Drosophila melanogaster: one gene and its partner. Changing the gene in region 1 together with any one later gene gives a genetic interaction. Each region holds a gene or a part of one and is shown in the gene's direction. Other genes may lie near its edges. The genes, in order: RYBP and Fadd.

The links.
Region 2: of RYBP (region 1) and Fadd, changing one suppresses a phenotype caused by changing the other (phenotypic suppression), as found in Drosophila melanogaster (one study listed by BioGRID).

What each region holds. Positions count from the first base shown.
Region 1 is NT_033778.4:22,666,165-22,674,043, forward strand, and holds RYBP (ring and YY1 binding protein), read left to right. Parts: upstream 1-4,422; 5' UTR 4,423-4,942; coding exon 4,943-5,081; intron 5,082-5,465; coding exon 5,466-5,779; 3' UTR 5,780-7,048; downstream 7,049-7,879. Other genes in the region: CG30273 (uncharacterized protein), read left to right, coding at 1,018-1,162, 1,219-1,354, 1,426-1,531; CG30269 (uncharacterized protein), read left to right, coding at 1,823-2,151, 2,485-2,590; CG13516 (uncharacterized protein), read left to right, coding at 3,436-3,691, 3,760-3,889, 3,981-4,101.
Region 2 is NT_033777.3:22,030,372-22,038,172, forward strand, and holds Fadd (Fas-associated death domain), read left to right. Parts: upstream 1-4,083; 5' UTR 4,084-4,191; coding exon 4,192-4,911; 3' UTR 4,912-5,246; downstream 5,247-7,801. Other genes in the region: CG13409 (uncharacterized protein), read right to left, coding at 1-212, 270-369, 445-525, 579-835, 902-1,352; CG6015 (uncharacterized protein), read right to left, coding at 1,855-2,388, 2,449-2,927, 2,993-3,710; CG45099 (uncharacterized protein), read right to left, coding at 3,711-3,815; pit (pitchoune), read left to right, coding at 5,464-5,644, 5,705-5,926, 6,136-6,822, 6,881-7,506, 7,586-7,801.

The sequences.
Region 1 (7,879 bases):
TGTAAAAAGAATTTAAGATAAAAGTAAGGCCTAGGGGATTTTATTTCCGGCATCTTGAATTGTTCGATATACTAGAAATACTCTTGAGAAAAGCTTGTTGATAACAGTGGGGCCTTATCAGTTCAGCTTGGACTTGTTCCTAGAATTCGGGAGTACAGTTTTGAGGCTTAATAAATAGAAGATTAAATGAACTTAGTTCTGAAAAGATGCCACGCAAAAGCACACCAGCATTCAAAGGACGGTCCGCGGAGGTTTACAAAAGTTTATCCGAACCGAAGGCTACAATTCCGAATTCTGGAGCAAAAGATACGTCCCAAGTATGTCTTAATTCCGAGGACTTCAAGTTGTCGTGGAGCCAAAGATTGTGGTTTAATACGCTGTATGTTATTCTTGAGCTAAGATTGCCTTCGTCCAGATGAAATACAGTTTCAAGTTTGTCTTATTTTAGATCCTTTTGTTGCTGCGGACAACCGATAAATAAAAATGTTAGTGATAATTTGGATGAGTAATGCAAATTCTAAAGACTTCAATAATTTGATTAAATGTATGCACATATGTAGAATATTATTAATAAAATAAATAAGTAAAGTACAATAACTGCTCTTGACTCAGCTAATCATTCTTATCTGTATTGACATTATTGCACAGCACACGACAAAATTGTCAATTGCATATTTATTTAGATATGTAATTGTATTAGCTCATCTAGTTTTAACCTGGATTATCATTAGTTAATTATAATAAAATCTTGGGCGATTGAAGGAAACAAGATTTAAAAGTCCAGTACTTAATACTGCGCTTTCCTCCTTCCTTGAACATGATTTCAATTGACAATCGAATTTACTCTCGCTTTCAACAAATTAAGTTGCTTGACTTGGTTGGCGCTCAAAAGCAATGCAAACAAGATACAAAGCTACGACAAAGAGCTTTTGCCAGCAACAATGTTGCGCAACAGCAGTCGCAAGAGTAGTGAAACGCAAGACTCGGTTTCAGTTCGTGACTACCAACCAAACGAAGATGCAGTACAATCAGCAGCCGGCGGGAGCGCCGGGCTATCCCCACCAGATGCCCCCACCGAGCTATGAGCAGGTGGTGCACGTGCAGGCGCCAGTTCGGGTGGTTCACCACACGACAGCACCTCCGCCCGTGGTGATCATACAACGTGGGTTTTTTTCTCAATGTGACAGACATAAGATTAACATTGACAATGACTTGCAGATCAAGCTGTATTGCCGGTGGGTCCGGATCCCACCTTCATCACCTGCCCGCATTGCCATGTCCAGAAACTGACCCGCGTGGAGTACTCGCCCAGTGTGAAAACTCACTGCATGGCCGCCATTCTATGCATCGTTGGGTAAGATTTGCAGATTCTCACCAGCCCCGTGCTACCATCTTATCTAATCTCTGGTGGAAAATCACAAACAGCCTCTGGTGTTGTGCCTGCCTGCCTTACTGCGCCACCAGCTGCATGAACGCCAATCACTTTTGCGGCAATTGCAATAAGTTCGTCGGCGTCTACAACAGCGATTAGTAATACGGAGTAAACAAAACCAAACGAACCCAACCAAATCGAACCGATCAACGCTCACAACCTCAACACACCCACACACAAAATCATCCACGAATGCGAACATTTTTGGTCAGGTGTCCACAGACCGACAGCTGTACGATGAAATTTCCCCAATGGGGTAAACAATCGGGCCGCCAAGCTTTTGGCTTTACTTGATAAGAATACGCGATACGCGAGACACATTTTTTTTTCCAACGGCGCTCCCTTGAGTCATTTTCCAGCGATTCACACACCCAGTTGGGCCAAAATATCATGGATTCCGTCTATCCAGCTGCACCCTTGGAGGCGCCCAAGGGATCCGTCGAGCTGCAGGCGACACCCGAGCAACAACACCTTCTGCCACCGGCTCCACCCAGTTACGACCAGGCCACAACCACTCCGGCTGAAACCACGGGACCAGCTCCAGTTCCAGCGAGCACATCCACCACACAGCACACGGTCGTCGTGGTGCCCGGTTCACCGTACGGCCCGGAGCCCATGGACGTGCAGTGCCCGTACTGCCACAATTACGCCCGGACACGGGTCTCCTTCAAGCCCAACTCGCGCACCCATCTGATAGCCTTGATATTATGCCTGTTCCAGTGAGTACCCGAAATAGATAACACTGTGTGTGGGCCAGTAGCCCACTTTGGGCACTCGAAACAGAAAAAGCTCAATTTATTCGGAATGAGAATAGCATAGAATAGATAAATTTCATTCCTTACCAGAGAGCACTCTTTTGTATTTATATATGTATTTTTGATTTCATTTCATATCTATGATATATTTTTAGTAGCTTAGCATCAGAAACAAAGGCTATATATTACATCAAATGATAGTCTTAGCCAGCAATAATCGCACAGAATAGACCTTGGCTATTAGGTGTATAATCCACTTGTCGGTGACTCACTTCCTTTTCTTTTACTTCCCTACAGGTTGTACTGCTGTGTGTGTCTGCCGTACTGCATTTCCAGTTGCATGAACACCAATCACTACTGTGGCATGTGCGATCGTTATTTGGGCACCTACGATCGCAAATGAGCAACCAAAAATGTTTCGGGGGCGACCTGTTCATGTGTACATATTTTCTTCAAGTAATTAGTTAATAAATGGACTGCAGCACGCAAACTGAACTAAAGCGAAGTATTTCGTCATTACAAGTGACGCTTTAAGAGCTTTAAAGTGGCATAGAATTACTATTTTGTGTTAGCGAAATTAACCCAGTTTTCAAATAAGTATAATATTATTGATGACCTAAATATTTAATTTTAAATTTGCTCTTAAAAACCAAAGTAAACTGGTTTTTTAACTTCAATTATTAGGCCATTCTTGGTTAAGTTATTCAGTAATTTTTTCGATTTAATTGCTGAAAGCTTTTTTGCTTAATGTTAAATTATACTCTGCTGACTATTACGCCCTTGGAATCCTATATATCAGCTTTATTTGCCAAAAGCCTAACTAATTACTGACTATGCTGAAGTGGCTATCTGTATCTTTATCGGACATCCTATTCCCGTACCTGAGATAAGTTCGATAAACAATGAAGATCATTGTGTGCACTAGATAAAGCTCGGTAAACAGTATTCGAGAGATACTTTCGGTTTTGCAACAGCCCCAAAACTGATTGCTCAACCGGATGGGAGCTTTTCCAAGCTCGCTCCGATCTGAGCCGAAAAAAAACTGAAACTGAATCTCTACCTGGATCCAAATTCGCTGGCAGTTGCGAGCGGCGTTCGAAGTGCAAAAGACGCCGTCTAGTTGTAAATACGCAAAGTAAACAACTTTTTTTTTTCGCTTAGCGAGAACCAGAATCTCTTAGTCATTTTAATAAGTCGAAACCATACCCGAACTTCGCACTAGAGCAAGGGTTTTATAGTGCGTTAACCATGGATCAGAAGCGAGCCATGCTTTATCCGCAAGTGGATTTCAACGCCCCGACGGCCCCCTCGCCGACGCCAACGAGGGAGTTGGGCAATCCCATCGCCAACGGCCTGCCCATCGAGGCTCCTCCGTCGTACGATGTGGCGGTGTCTGTTCCGGTGGCTCCAGCGGTTTCCGCACCAGCAATCGCCCCAGCACGACCACCGCCAGTGGTTGTCGTGGAGCAGCCAGCCCCACAACCACCCACAGTGGTTCCAACAGGTGTGTAGTTTGCACATAGTTATAGTTCGGCTGTGAAGCTCTACTGACGTCACTCCCTGCTGTTGCAGATACTCTACACTTGGGTCCAAATCGAAGTAGGGTTCTCTGCCCAGCCTGTGGAGCCAACAAAACTACGAGGATGACACACACGGCTAACTCCAGGACCCATATGGTGGCAGGTCTCCTCTGTTTGGTCGGGTAAGTTGAGTTTCTTATAAAAAGGAGTAGAGTTTATCTGCTTATTGATTTATCTTAAATTTATATATTTCATGTCTCATCCTCTTTAAAGATTCTGCTGCTGTGCCTGTTTTGTTCCCTATTGCATGAACAGTTGCCGCACTGGAAACCACTATTGTCGCAAGTGTAACACCTTCCTGGGAGCCTACAATCCAAAGGGGATGAACCGATGATAAGACTGCCAAGATAAAACGTGATCTGGGGGCTAGACAGACAGAACAGATACAAGTTATAAGTAAACACAACGCAGCTGATGCTTGCCAGCGGCTAAATTAAGGTTGTATGTACATAGGCCATTGGCTAGAGCGCAAGGCGTCAAAAAGAATCATCATTGGTCATTTAAGCATATGTGAGGTAGCTTAAAAACAATTTAATAAGTTTCCCAAATTCTTCTTTACCCATAAGCACCACTATAGTAAACATAAGCAAAACCGCTTACCTTCCCATTGTTGCTGAAGCAGCTGGCCTTTGGCTGGCTAGAAAAATAAAAGCGTGGGCGTAAGCTTCACAATAAAATGCAAACACAAAACAATGACAAGCCACATTTCAAAATAAACGTAGTTTGGCGCCCAATCGAAAAGTGAGTTGCCAGATCAGCACCATACGCTAGCCAACACTGGCTGCGCGCTACTATCGAAATATCGATAGCCTGGCATTGAGCACTTCTACGATATGGCAATGTTGCCGCAGCCAAAAAGACAATTGCAGAAAGTTTTTTTCACAACAAAAAGCCACCGAAAACGCTCCAATTAAGCAACAAATGCGTGCCAAAAGCGCAGCGAATCTCCACTGAGGCCACCGTGTGTGCGTGAGCGTGGCAAAGGTGCGAGCAGAGCAACCAAACATCACAGGAACACGGCCAGCAGCAGCAGCGGATCAGCAGAGGGGCGGGCAGAGGCAGAGGCGGTGGCAGAGGGAAAAGTCGGGCATTTTCATTGGATTCGTTTTGGTCCGATTCGATTGGATTGCGGTTACTCCAGCGGCGCCCAGGCGTTCCTCCTCTCCTCCTGTATTATGGACAAGAAATCCTCGCCGGTGCGACGACAAAAGCGGCAGGCGAAGGTGATCGAGGAGAACTTCTGGGACTGCAGCGTCTGCACATATAGAAACTCGGCGGAGGCCTTCAAGTGTCGCATGTGCGACGTGCGGAAAGGTAAGTGACCCCGATTTTGCTTCGTTTTCGCTTCCGAGTTCCAAGATTGAGCAGATTGCCAGCCATGTTCCGATTTTCGCTTTCTTGATCATGTGTCATGGATCGGTTTGTTTATCCTTCTACAAGGATACACACACATCGGTATTAACAATATTGGAATATATCTGGTTGAACTGTAGATAGTAATAGTCAAAAAAAGACTGTTGACTGTTGATTAGATGGCCAACGATGGTATCGATTTGCTTACGTAGAATAAATAAATTCACACTGCGCAGAAACCGGGAATACTTCTCGAAACGATAAACATGCTAATTGAAACAATTTTAAACTATTTATATACTATTTTTGGTGCGCTCAATAAGACTATACACCCTTGTTTTTTAGGAACCTCCACGCGAAAGCCACGCCTGAACTCAGCGCTAGTCGCCCAGCAGGCCGCCACTTTGCCAGGAGCCAGTGTCAACATGCCCAACGGGAAGTCCGCCTCCGGATCACGGCATGGCAGTGGGCACGACCGGCAGAGGCACAAGCGGTATCCGGCACGGTTGAAAAACGTGGACCGATCGACGGCACAGACGCGAGAGGTGACGGTCAACTCGGTGACCGTGTTCATCACAGAGTACAAGGCCAAGCCGGTGAGCAGCCGACGCGAATCCAGTGAGCAGAGCTTCAGCGAGAGCAACGACAGCCGGAGTTAGAGGAGGGATACAAGGCCTCCTCGCCCCCAGCTCCCCAATATTCTACGCCACGGTTCCCGCTCCCCTGTTACAAGTTGTAAATTCTAAGTGTTAGGCCCCTGGCGATAACAATTGTAAATCGAAATCCATTTAAGTTACCAAGTATTAGGCCACGTTTAAAGCCCCGAAAGCCAAGCCCCCACTAGTTCATGACTTCCAGCCCAGGCCAAGATGGCAAAGCAAAGCGAAGCGACGGCGAGTCGATTGCATTTACACGACGCTCTCCAAATCCCATTTTAAAATGCGCTAGACCCTGTAAATAGCGATGCATGAGTTCCCTGAATATCTCTGTCTCGTATCGTAATTTTAGTTGTAATTTAATTCTGCTACTCTAATTCCTAATTTATTGATGCAAAGGTAACTATGTATAACCGCCGTGTACATGTTCAACAAAGATATCATTTGTTTTGTAAGTGTCGAATTAAAATATGGTTTAACTAAGTGCAAGTTAATCTCAATGTTCCACTAGCAGCGCCCATCCCCCATGGTTTGTGTAACTATTATAAACTGCCCTTTTTTTTTTGACTAGAAAATGCTGCTTGACAACGAAGTGTAGCGAGAAGAGAGCCACGTAGCTTGGTTGTAGACAATTTGCTAATTTTAATTTGTTTGTATACAAGACTGATTAAGCGTTACCAACCAGATATAGAGAGGTCCGCACACGCACCCAGCCCGAATCCGATTTTCCTTTTGGTTTACACCCGAGATAGCCTCACAGCCAGCAAACAATAGACGAATACTCGAACTCGCAAAAAGAGAATTTTGTACTTAGCAGAGCTTAAACGCTCTTCCACCATAGCAATAATTACTTAGCAAACAATGAAAAACATGAATTTTGATATGAACGATTGTATTTAATATTGGATAACAGATATAATGGTTTATAAAGTGCTTGATATTTGTATTTTGAGATAGATTATTTAGCCACACATGAACACTAACACACACCCACTCGAAACTGCCGACTGTAGTCAAGAAACAACTTCCAATAGACAAACTTCAATTTGGATTATCGTAAACATGTACAATTAATATGAACAGTTTGTATTCCAAATGCTTGGCCAGTTGAGCATTAATCAACAGCAACGACAAAGACAAAGACAAAACTTAAGCAAACGCAATTAAAGCCGCACTCACACGACAACACGGATAGTTAAAACTTGAATTCCAATTGTAAAGCGTAAACTTTTAAAGCATTATAAAATACATTAAATAAATTTCGAAAATGCTATTCCAAGGAGTCGTTGTCTTCTCTCCCGCCCTAAGATGAGTTCAATTTAATATTTTTTATTTGGGCTTATCCAACTTGCTAAACTTTTGTTGCCAAGTTTTATTTTTGATTCTTTTTATGGCTGACATTCGGCTTAAACTTTAAAGGTCTTTAAAGAGCAAGGCAGCAGCGAGAACCACCCCGGCTGGATGCCAGTACATCCACCGTTTCCCCAGGACCCAGGACCACCCACGCATCGCCTTTCCCCCATCCTCCCTTCTGTGTGTGAGTGTGTTCCGAAAGGGGGGGGGGGGGGGGCGCAGCCCGAGCACCATCTGTATCTGTATCAGAGTATCTGCTTACGCGTGCTCCCGGCCTCCAGTTTTTGGGCCTCAGATCAGAGCAGCGCTTCTGCCAGAGTTTCGGTTTCAGATGCACGGAAAACGGGAACAGGAGATGGTGCTCGAGCTGGAGCTGGAGCCGGAGCTGGAGCCACTGTCTCTGGTCGATGGCTACGCCTTTGGCAGCTGCCTCAACTTTTCGCACAGAGCCGGAGCACATCGCACGCTTCGCAAATAAATTACAAATTGTTTCGTTCCAGCTATGCTGGCACAGTCAAACTATACTAACATCAACCCGCTTTGTGTAATGTATGCTTGGATACCTATTAAGCATGTTCGATGTTCGCTAATTGTAAAACTTGTGTTTATGTTTTGATTTCTTCTCAGTTCTTTACTGTTTACCAACAAATTAAAATGTTGTAAATATAAATTTATTTCCCTTGAATTAGCTCACAAGAATGCACTGAACGAGGCTTGACTGTACTTACATACATACACACCCGATTTCAT
Region 2 (7,801 bases), on another chromosome or scaffold:
CGTGGCCAAAACGATGGCGCACAGCCAAATGGGCAGGACGACGATCACCTTGACCAGGTAAAATCGCACGAAGCTGCGCTCGTTCTGTCGCAGTCCATGGTAGATGCACAGCCAAAACATGAGTAGAGCACAAAGGAACGTCGCTTGCAGAATGGCGTCCAGCATTCCAGGCAGCCAGGAGTTCATCAGGAATATCAGCGGGAAGAAGGGATCTGTGCGTAGAAGATCATTAGTCTATACGCGCTAACTAATCCGGGTGAAACACCTACTGTCGTACAAAAGGAGCAGGGGCAGGAGTACCGACAACCATCGCTGCTCAATGGACCAATCATAGATTGGATACTTGCGCAAGGTGTGGGCATACCAGCACTGAAAGCAGAAAGATAGTATTATTTCATATGTCTAGAGCCACATAACTTGGCTTATTAGCTGACAAAAACTTACTATGACAATGAAGGTGAACAGCAGAAAGATGCACCTAAACCAGATTTCAATCTGCGTGAAGTCCGGACTGTAAGTCTTGAACTGAAGTGGAAAGTTAGTGACCATCACTACAATGGGAATGCCATGCCACTCACGTAAAATGTTATGCTGCGTATATTATACTTCTGATGGAATGACTCCAAGCCGTAAAAGCGCACAGTGATAATATAGTGGGCATAGTCGAGGAATCCCAGATGCATCACCGTGAACTCCTCGCAGTCGTTCCGTACGCAGACCAAGTGCCGCGTCCGGTTGTGAGCCACTCCGGATCCGAGGACACTTTGGGGCTTGTGCTGCTCGTTTATGCCATCGATTGAGACGCTCACTTGGAAACTCTTGTCGTACCGCTCGTCTGAATGATTGTCATACATATATGTAAATGTAAGAAAAGTAAAATAGTCGCAATCACAAGACCCACCATCATTGTTGTCCGTCACCAGCTTGGCTATCAGCCACATTTGCTGCGAATATGTGGTGGTCAGCGGCGACTTCATGGCGAAGGGTCCCTTCCCCAGGACCGTTGGGCTATGCGCCAGCGAGGTGTTCGCCAGAATCTGCTGGGCGGTCAGCGATGATGTGCTGGTTATGGGCGGTCCCGTCAGCCCGATGACTATGCCCAGACCGAAGCAGGTGAAGAATCCCAGGAAGACCATGACAAACTCGCGCTTGTGCATCGAGTAGAGTCGCATATGGACGGATCGCTCGCAGCGATCGTGATGATAGGCGGGCGAGATGTACCTGCTGAAGTCGCTGAACAAATCGCTGAACTGTGAGAGGGAAGATTTGAGGCGCAGCAGGAGGCCGCCGGACGGCAGCTGGTAGGCGTAGCCCAGGCCAGAGGCATCCGCATCCGAGTGGGGCTTGGCCATGGCCGCTGGCAGGAATTACGGGTGTCTAGCTGATGCTCGGTGTCCACCTAGCCGTCGCCTTTTACTGCATCTCCTCTACGCCGTAGAACTCTTTTTTTTTCGCGTTTTTTTTACAGATTATTGACAAGTCTTCCACAATCCGTCCGACGTTTGTGCGACTTTCGTGGAAAATATCGATTTTGGCCAGCACTACTCGCATATGTTTTGACTTGCCAGTGGGGGTGGCTGGGCCATTGGGTGGTGGGCCGACCATCCGTCGAGTTGTTTGCCATTTCACATGCACTGCGCATGCGTACTCTTATCACAACTGAAGGTAAATAAAAGCCAATCTCGCAAAGGGGGGAGGGAATATCAAGCAACCGGATGGATAAATAACTTAGGAATTGGGCTTGATACACATGAATTAAATGAGCTCAATTGGAACATAATGGGTAAGCAATATAATCAATCAATTTACACATCAGTTTGGCTTACATCTATCTATGTTATTTTGTGCGGACCATTAGTCCCAGTATTTTATCTGGCCATCCCAGCCAGCGGTGACCACTTTGCTGGCCTCATGCGGATGCCAGAGGGCACTGATGCAGACGCCGTCGTGCGCCTGCCACTTCTTGTACATCTTCGTCGTCTTCCAGTCCCAAATATAACATTTGCCATCGCCATCGCCCGACACCAGATAGCTCATGTCCGGCGAAAAGTCCAGCTGGCAGGCGTAGCCAGAGACCATGTGACCGGTGAAGGTCTTTTTGCGGTTCATCTTGAAGCGATTGAGGGCGGAGAAGATGACGATCTTGTTGTCTAACGACTGGCAGGCCATCCATTTGCCATTGGGCGCCAATGTGACCGCCGGCATGGAATGCATAGTGGGGTCGGCAATGTACTTCATGTCCACAGGAATGTCCCACTCCCATATGCGCATCGATTTGTCGTCCGAGGTGGTCACAAACCGTCGGTTGTCGTCCACAAAGGTGATGGTGCTCACAGATCCCAAGTGCCGGTCGTATTCCTGTACAATATCACCGCTGCGAGTGTCCCACTGCGAATTGATAGGAAAACAATTGTAACATGAGCATCTACTTTTGTAAATTTTACTTACACAAATGATCTTCTTGTCGGAGGTGCCGGCAACGAACAAATGTTGCTTGCTATTATCCGGATGGAATTTCACACAGAAAGGCATTTTACGCGTTGTGAATCGGGACACTACATCGCCCGTTTCGGCATCCCACAACTTTATGTAGCGATCATACGAGGCAGACAGGAAGTTGGTACCCCTGTTGTTCCACGCAATATCCTTGATGGCCTGCCGGTGACCGGAGAAGGTGCGTATGCAGCGTCGCTCGCCGTAAACCTCCCACAGTTTGACGCGACAGTCCATCGATCCGGAGAGCAGAAGATGAGCGGTCTTGGGGAACCAGCGGATGGAGGAGATGCCCTTGTTGTGGCCCGACCAGGTGTGTATGTGCGCCTTGGGCAGAAAGCATTTGGTCGGTGGTGCATTCGATCGTAGATTCACGCCCAGATCATGAGGAGCATGCAAATAAGAGCGGCCCTGATAGTCGTACGCATCCTTGACTGTGGAGCAAAAAAGGAAAAGATTATTAACGATATATATTCGGTGGCTATTGGATTAAACTCACTGTGCAGCGTCGACTTCTCCTCGAGCGGCTTATCCTCGGGAATGCGTCCGCGCTTATGTCGCTTAGACAGCAGCTCGTCCAGTTCGGCGCGCTCCTGTTCATTTGGCTTTGCCACCGACACCTCGTTTTCGAACTTGCCCCAGGGACCCAGAAAGCCCTCAATGTCCTCGGGATTATCATTTTTCTCCTGCTTGCGCAGTTTCTTTGCCTTGGGCGGCTCAAATACCGTCTTGCCATTGTCATCGTACGCAGACTGCAGGTCACCCACAAAAGACTGGCCGTCCGCCTGATCGTCTACGCTGGGGTCCAATGCGTAGCCGTAGGTGTGAAAGGTGCGTCGCTGGTTCTCAAATTCGAAGGCATTGATGTGGGCCTTCTCTACGTAGCCGGCTAGGGTGTTCCGCGGAGCGCGCTGCTGCATGGTGAGGTCCGGATGCTCCGGACCTTTTACCGGAGCATACATCTCCTCATAGCGCGGATTGTAGGTTACCTCCTTGAGCGTGGGATCCAGAGTTCGGGGCACGGCCGATGCTCCAAGGGGAACCACCGTTGGCGCCGCACAAACAGCAATGGACTTGGATAGCGAGTGTGTCTTGTCCACGGGCAGCAGGTGATCCGGAATGGGAGCGGAGGGCTCTGAATTCGTGGTGGCTGTGGCGGCGTCCGCATGGTCCGATTCTTCATCCGAGGAACTGGCGTATGACTGAAGGCCCAACATTTAGAGGCTGCGGACGAACTCTGTGTACTTGTTAACGAAATGCTGAAGGTAAATCAAGACCAGAGTGTAGAGGAGGAATACGAAAACGTTAATGGATATTTCCATTCGTCTACACGTTTGCGTTTATCATTAGTTGCTTCAGTAAAAGTAACAAAAACATAAATATATATCTATCAAAACTAGGGATGGTGCGTGCCATCTGTTATCGATGTTATCGAATGGCTATGTAACGGTCTCACTAATAGATCCCAAACATGCAAGGTGGTGCAAGTTTAAAGCTTATTTTAAATTTTTTAAGTTGTATGGAAATAGTATTTGATATTTTTTTGCTCATTTTGCTCAAACACCTATTCAGTGCTGATCGATAACAGGTAAGGAAATGTTTGGCCATACGGTCATACTACATCAGGGAGTGAAGTTGCGTTGATACATTTTGGGAACTTAAGACCGCTGAAAATACCGTCTCTGTAAATTAGTCACAATGACTGCAGGCAGGCACTGGAGCTACGACAGCCTCAAACAAATCGCCATTGATGGATGCACCGAGAACGTGGAGCAGTTGAAACTAATTTTTGTCGAAGAGATTGGTTCGCGACGCAGATCGGATTGCATACGAACCATCGAGGATTTAATTGACTGCCTGGAACGAGCGGACGAACTATCGGAGTACAATGTGGAGCCACTGCGCCGGATATCAGGCAATATGCCACAGCTCATCGAGGCTCTGAGCGCCTACACAAAGCCGGAAAACATTCTTGGACATCCGGTTAATCTGTACCAGGAACTCCGATTGGCCGAGGAACTTCGTCAGCAGCTCCGTATTGCTCCAGCTTCCCAGAATGCTCAGCCATCAGTTTCGGAATTAGCTGCCGCTGTGCCTCCAACAGCAATCCAAAACTATGCCACCCCAGCTGCTTTTACGGATCACAAACGAACGATGGTCTTTAAGAAAATATCCGAGGAACTGGGTCGCTATTGGCGACGACTGGGCCGATCGGCGGGCATTGGCGAGGGCCAAATGGACACAATCGAGGAGCGCTACCCGCACGACTTGAAGTCCCAGATTCTGCGACTGCTGCAGCTCATCGAAGAGGATGATTGCCACGATCCCAAGCACTTTCTGCTTCGTCTGTGTCGCGCCCTGGGCGATTGTGGTCGCAATGATCTGCGCAAGAGGGTGGAGCAGATAATGTCGCACTAGAACGCATTCACTTATATGCACTTTATATGCATTTTGTTACGATACTAGTAATTAATGTGCTGGAGAGCGACAAAGATGTGCCTTTATTGTAATTATTCACATGTTATTCCAAGGTTGGACAGAGCATAAAAATCGCACACTAAATTAATATGTGTCAACGCGGAATTGTACGATCTTATAAGAAAATGTGATTGACGTATTCCATTCAAAATGGGAATTCACATTTCCTTATCATAAGATAGTCTACAAAAAATATTGTTAACTCGTAATACACAAGTCACATAGTTGAAGATAGCAATGTACAATGGATATAAAATACGTTTTGCAAACGCTTTTGCTTCTCTTATCCTCAAAAGACGGTTGAAAATTTGTTTACAAATAGGGTCACACCTTTTGCATTGAACTATCGAATTGGCAATTATCGATAGGCACAGCTGGCTGAATATCGTTTGCTTCGGGGTGAATGGTTAGCAACACGTGCGCGCAATATTTTATTTGAGAATTCTGTTTTTAACCATTAAACTCTATTAAAAAGCATACATAGTTAGCAATATGTCTATTCGGGAGAAGCTGCTGATGAAGAAGATCGTTAAGCGGGAGAAGATGAAGAAGGAGCTCTCGCAGAAGAAGGGAAACAAGAACGCCCAAAAGCAGGAGCCACCCAAACAAAATGGCAATAAACCCAGTAAAAAACCGGAGAAACTCAGTAAAAAGCATGTGGCCAAGGATGAGGGTACGATTAAAAACGTGTGTGCCTAATAAATATATGTAAGATTCACTTTTCGACCCGCAGATGACGACTTAGAGGAGGATTTCCAGGAGGCGCCGCTGCCCAAGAAGAAGCAACAAAAACAGCCTCCAAAAAAGCAACAAATTCAGGTGGCCAACTCGGATTCGGAATCAGATGACGATGAGCAGGAGGATGAGGCAGATGAGGATAGCGATTTGGACGAAGTAGCCGAAGTTGATGAGGAGGATGTTGACAGCGGGAGTGAAGATGATGACCAGCAGGAAGGTAAGTAAAAGTGTCGATATTTAGGGAATTCGTTCTAACTACCAATAATAATGATGATTTTTAAAGGCGAATTTGAGCAGCTCTGGTGCAGCGAGTTAATGTTGCCCAGGGCAGGCATGAAATCCATTTAAAAACCAACTGAATTATATAAAATACTAAAAAACTGTATCCCTGTGAAAACCAAAATTAACCAAGAGTACCTGTTTCAGATGAAGATGAAGAAGAACCTGTGCCAGCCAAGAAAACGAAGTTGCTTCCCAACAAGTCCAAGGCACAGAATGGCAAACCAGCTAAAGACGACGAGCCCTTTACCGTGGAATCCTCACTGGCTGCACTGGATTACCGAGATTCGGATGATCGCAGCTTTGCCTCTTTAAAGGGCGCCGTGTCCGAGGCCACATTGCGAGCCATTAAGGAGATGGGTTTTACCGAGATGACTGAAATTCAGTCGAAATCGCTGACACCCCTACTAAAGGGACGGGATCTGGTGGGTGCTGCCCAGACGGGTTCCGGCAAAACCCTGGCCTTCCTGATACCCGCCGTCGAGCTGATAAACAAGCTGAGGTTTATGCCACGCAATGGTACCGGCGTGATCATCATCTCACCTACCCGAGAGTTGTCCATGCAAACTTTCGGTGTGCTCAAAGAGCTGATGGCACACCACCATCACACTTATGGCTTGGTAATGGGCGGCTCCAATCGGCAGGTGGAGAGCGAGAAGTTGGGCAAGGGCATCAACATTCTGGTGGCCACACCGGGTCGTCTGCTGGATCATTTACAAAACTCGCCCGACTTTCTGTACAAGAACCTTCAGTGCCTGATTATCGATGAAGTGGATCGAATTCTGGAGATCGGTTTTGAGGAGGAGCTTAAGCAAATAATAAATCTGCTGCCAAGTGAGTTACGGGTAACTAAAGGTTTTTAGTGTATTTTTAAACTAACCTAATCTTTTAGAACGCCGCCAGACGATGCTCTTCTCGGCCACACAGACGGCTCGCATCGAAGCGCTTTCCAAGCTGGCCCTTAAGTCGGAACCAATTTATGTAGGGGTTCACGACAACCAGGACACGGCGACCGTAGATGGACTCGAGCAGGGGTACATTGTTTGCCCCTCGGAGAAGCGACTGCTCGTGCTCTTCACGTTCCTCAAAAAGAATCGTAAGAAGAAGGTGATGGTGTTCTTCTCGTCCTGCATGTCCGTCAAATACCACCACGAGCTCTTCAACTACATTGATCTGCCAGTGACCTCCATCCACGGTAAACAAAAGCAAACGAAACGAACGACCACCTTCTTCCAGTTCTGCAACGCGGAATCTGGGATTCTCTTATGTACGGATGTGGCTGCTCGTGGATTGGACATTCCGCAAGTCGATTGGATTGTGCAGTACGATCCTCCAGATGATCCACGCGAGTATATTCACAGGGTGGGCCGAACGGCCAGAGGATCGGGCACCTCGGGTCACGCCCTCCTTCTGATGCGACCGGAGGAGCTGGGCTTCCTGCGCTACCTTAAGGCCGCCAAGGTGCCGCTCAATGAGTTCGAGTTCTCCTGGCAGAAGATAGCTGATATTCAACTGCAGGTGGGTGCTCTTTCTTTGAGTTAAAATTGTTAGCTATGGTTTAAGGTGATTTAATTCGTATGTTTCTTATCCACTGCAGCTGGAGAAACTGATCGCCAAGAACTATTTCCTAAACCAGTCGGCCAAGGAAGCCTTTAAGTCGTATGTGCGCGCATACGATTCGCATCAATTGAAGCAGATCTTCAATGTGAACACGTTGGACCTGCAGGCGGTTGCGAAAAGCTTTGGATTCCTTGTGCCACCCGTAGTTGACCTGAAGGTGGGCGCGGCCAAGCGGGAGCGACCGGAAAAGCGA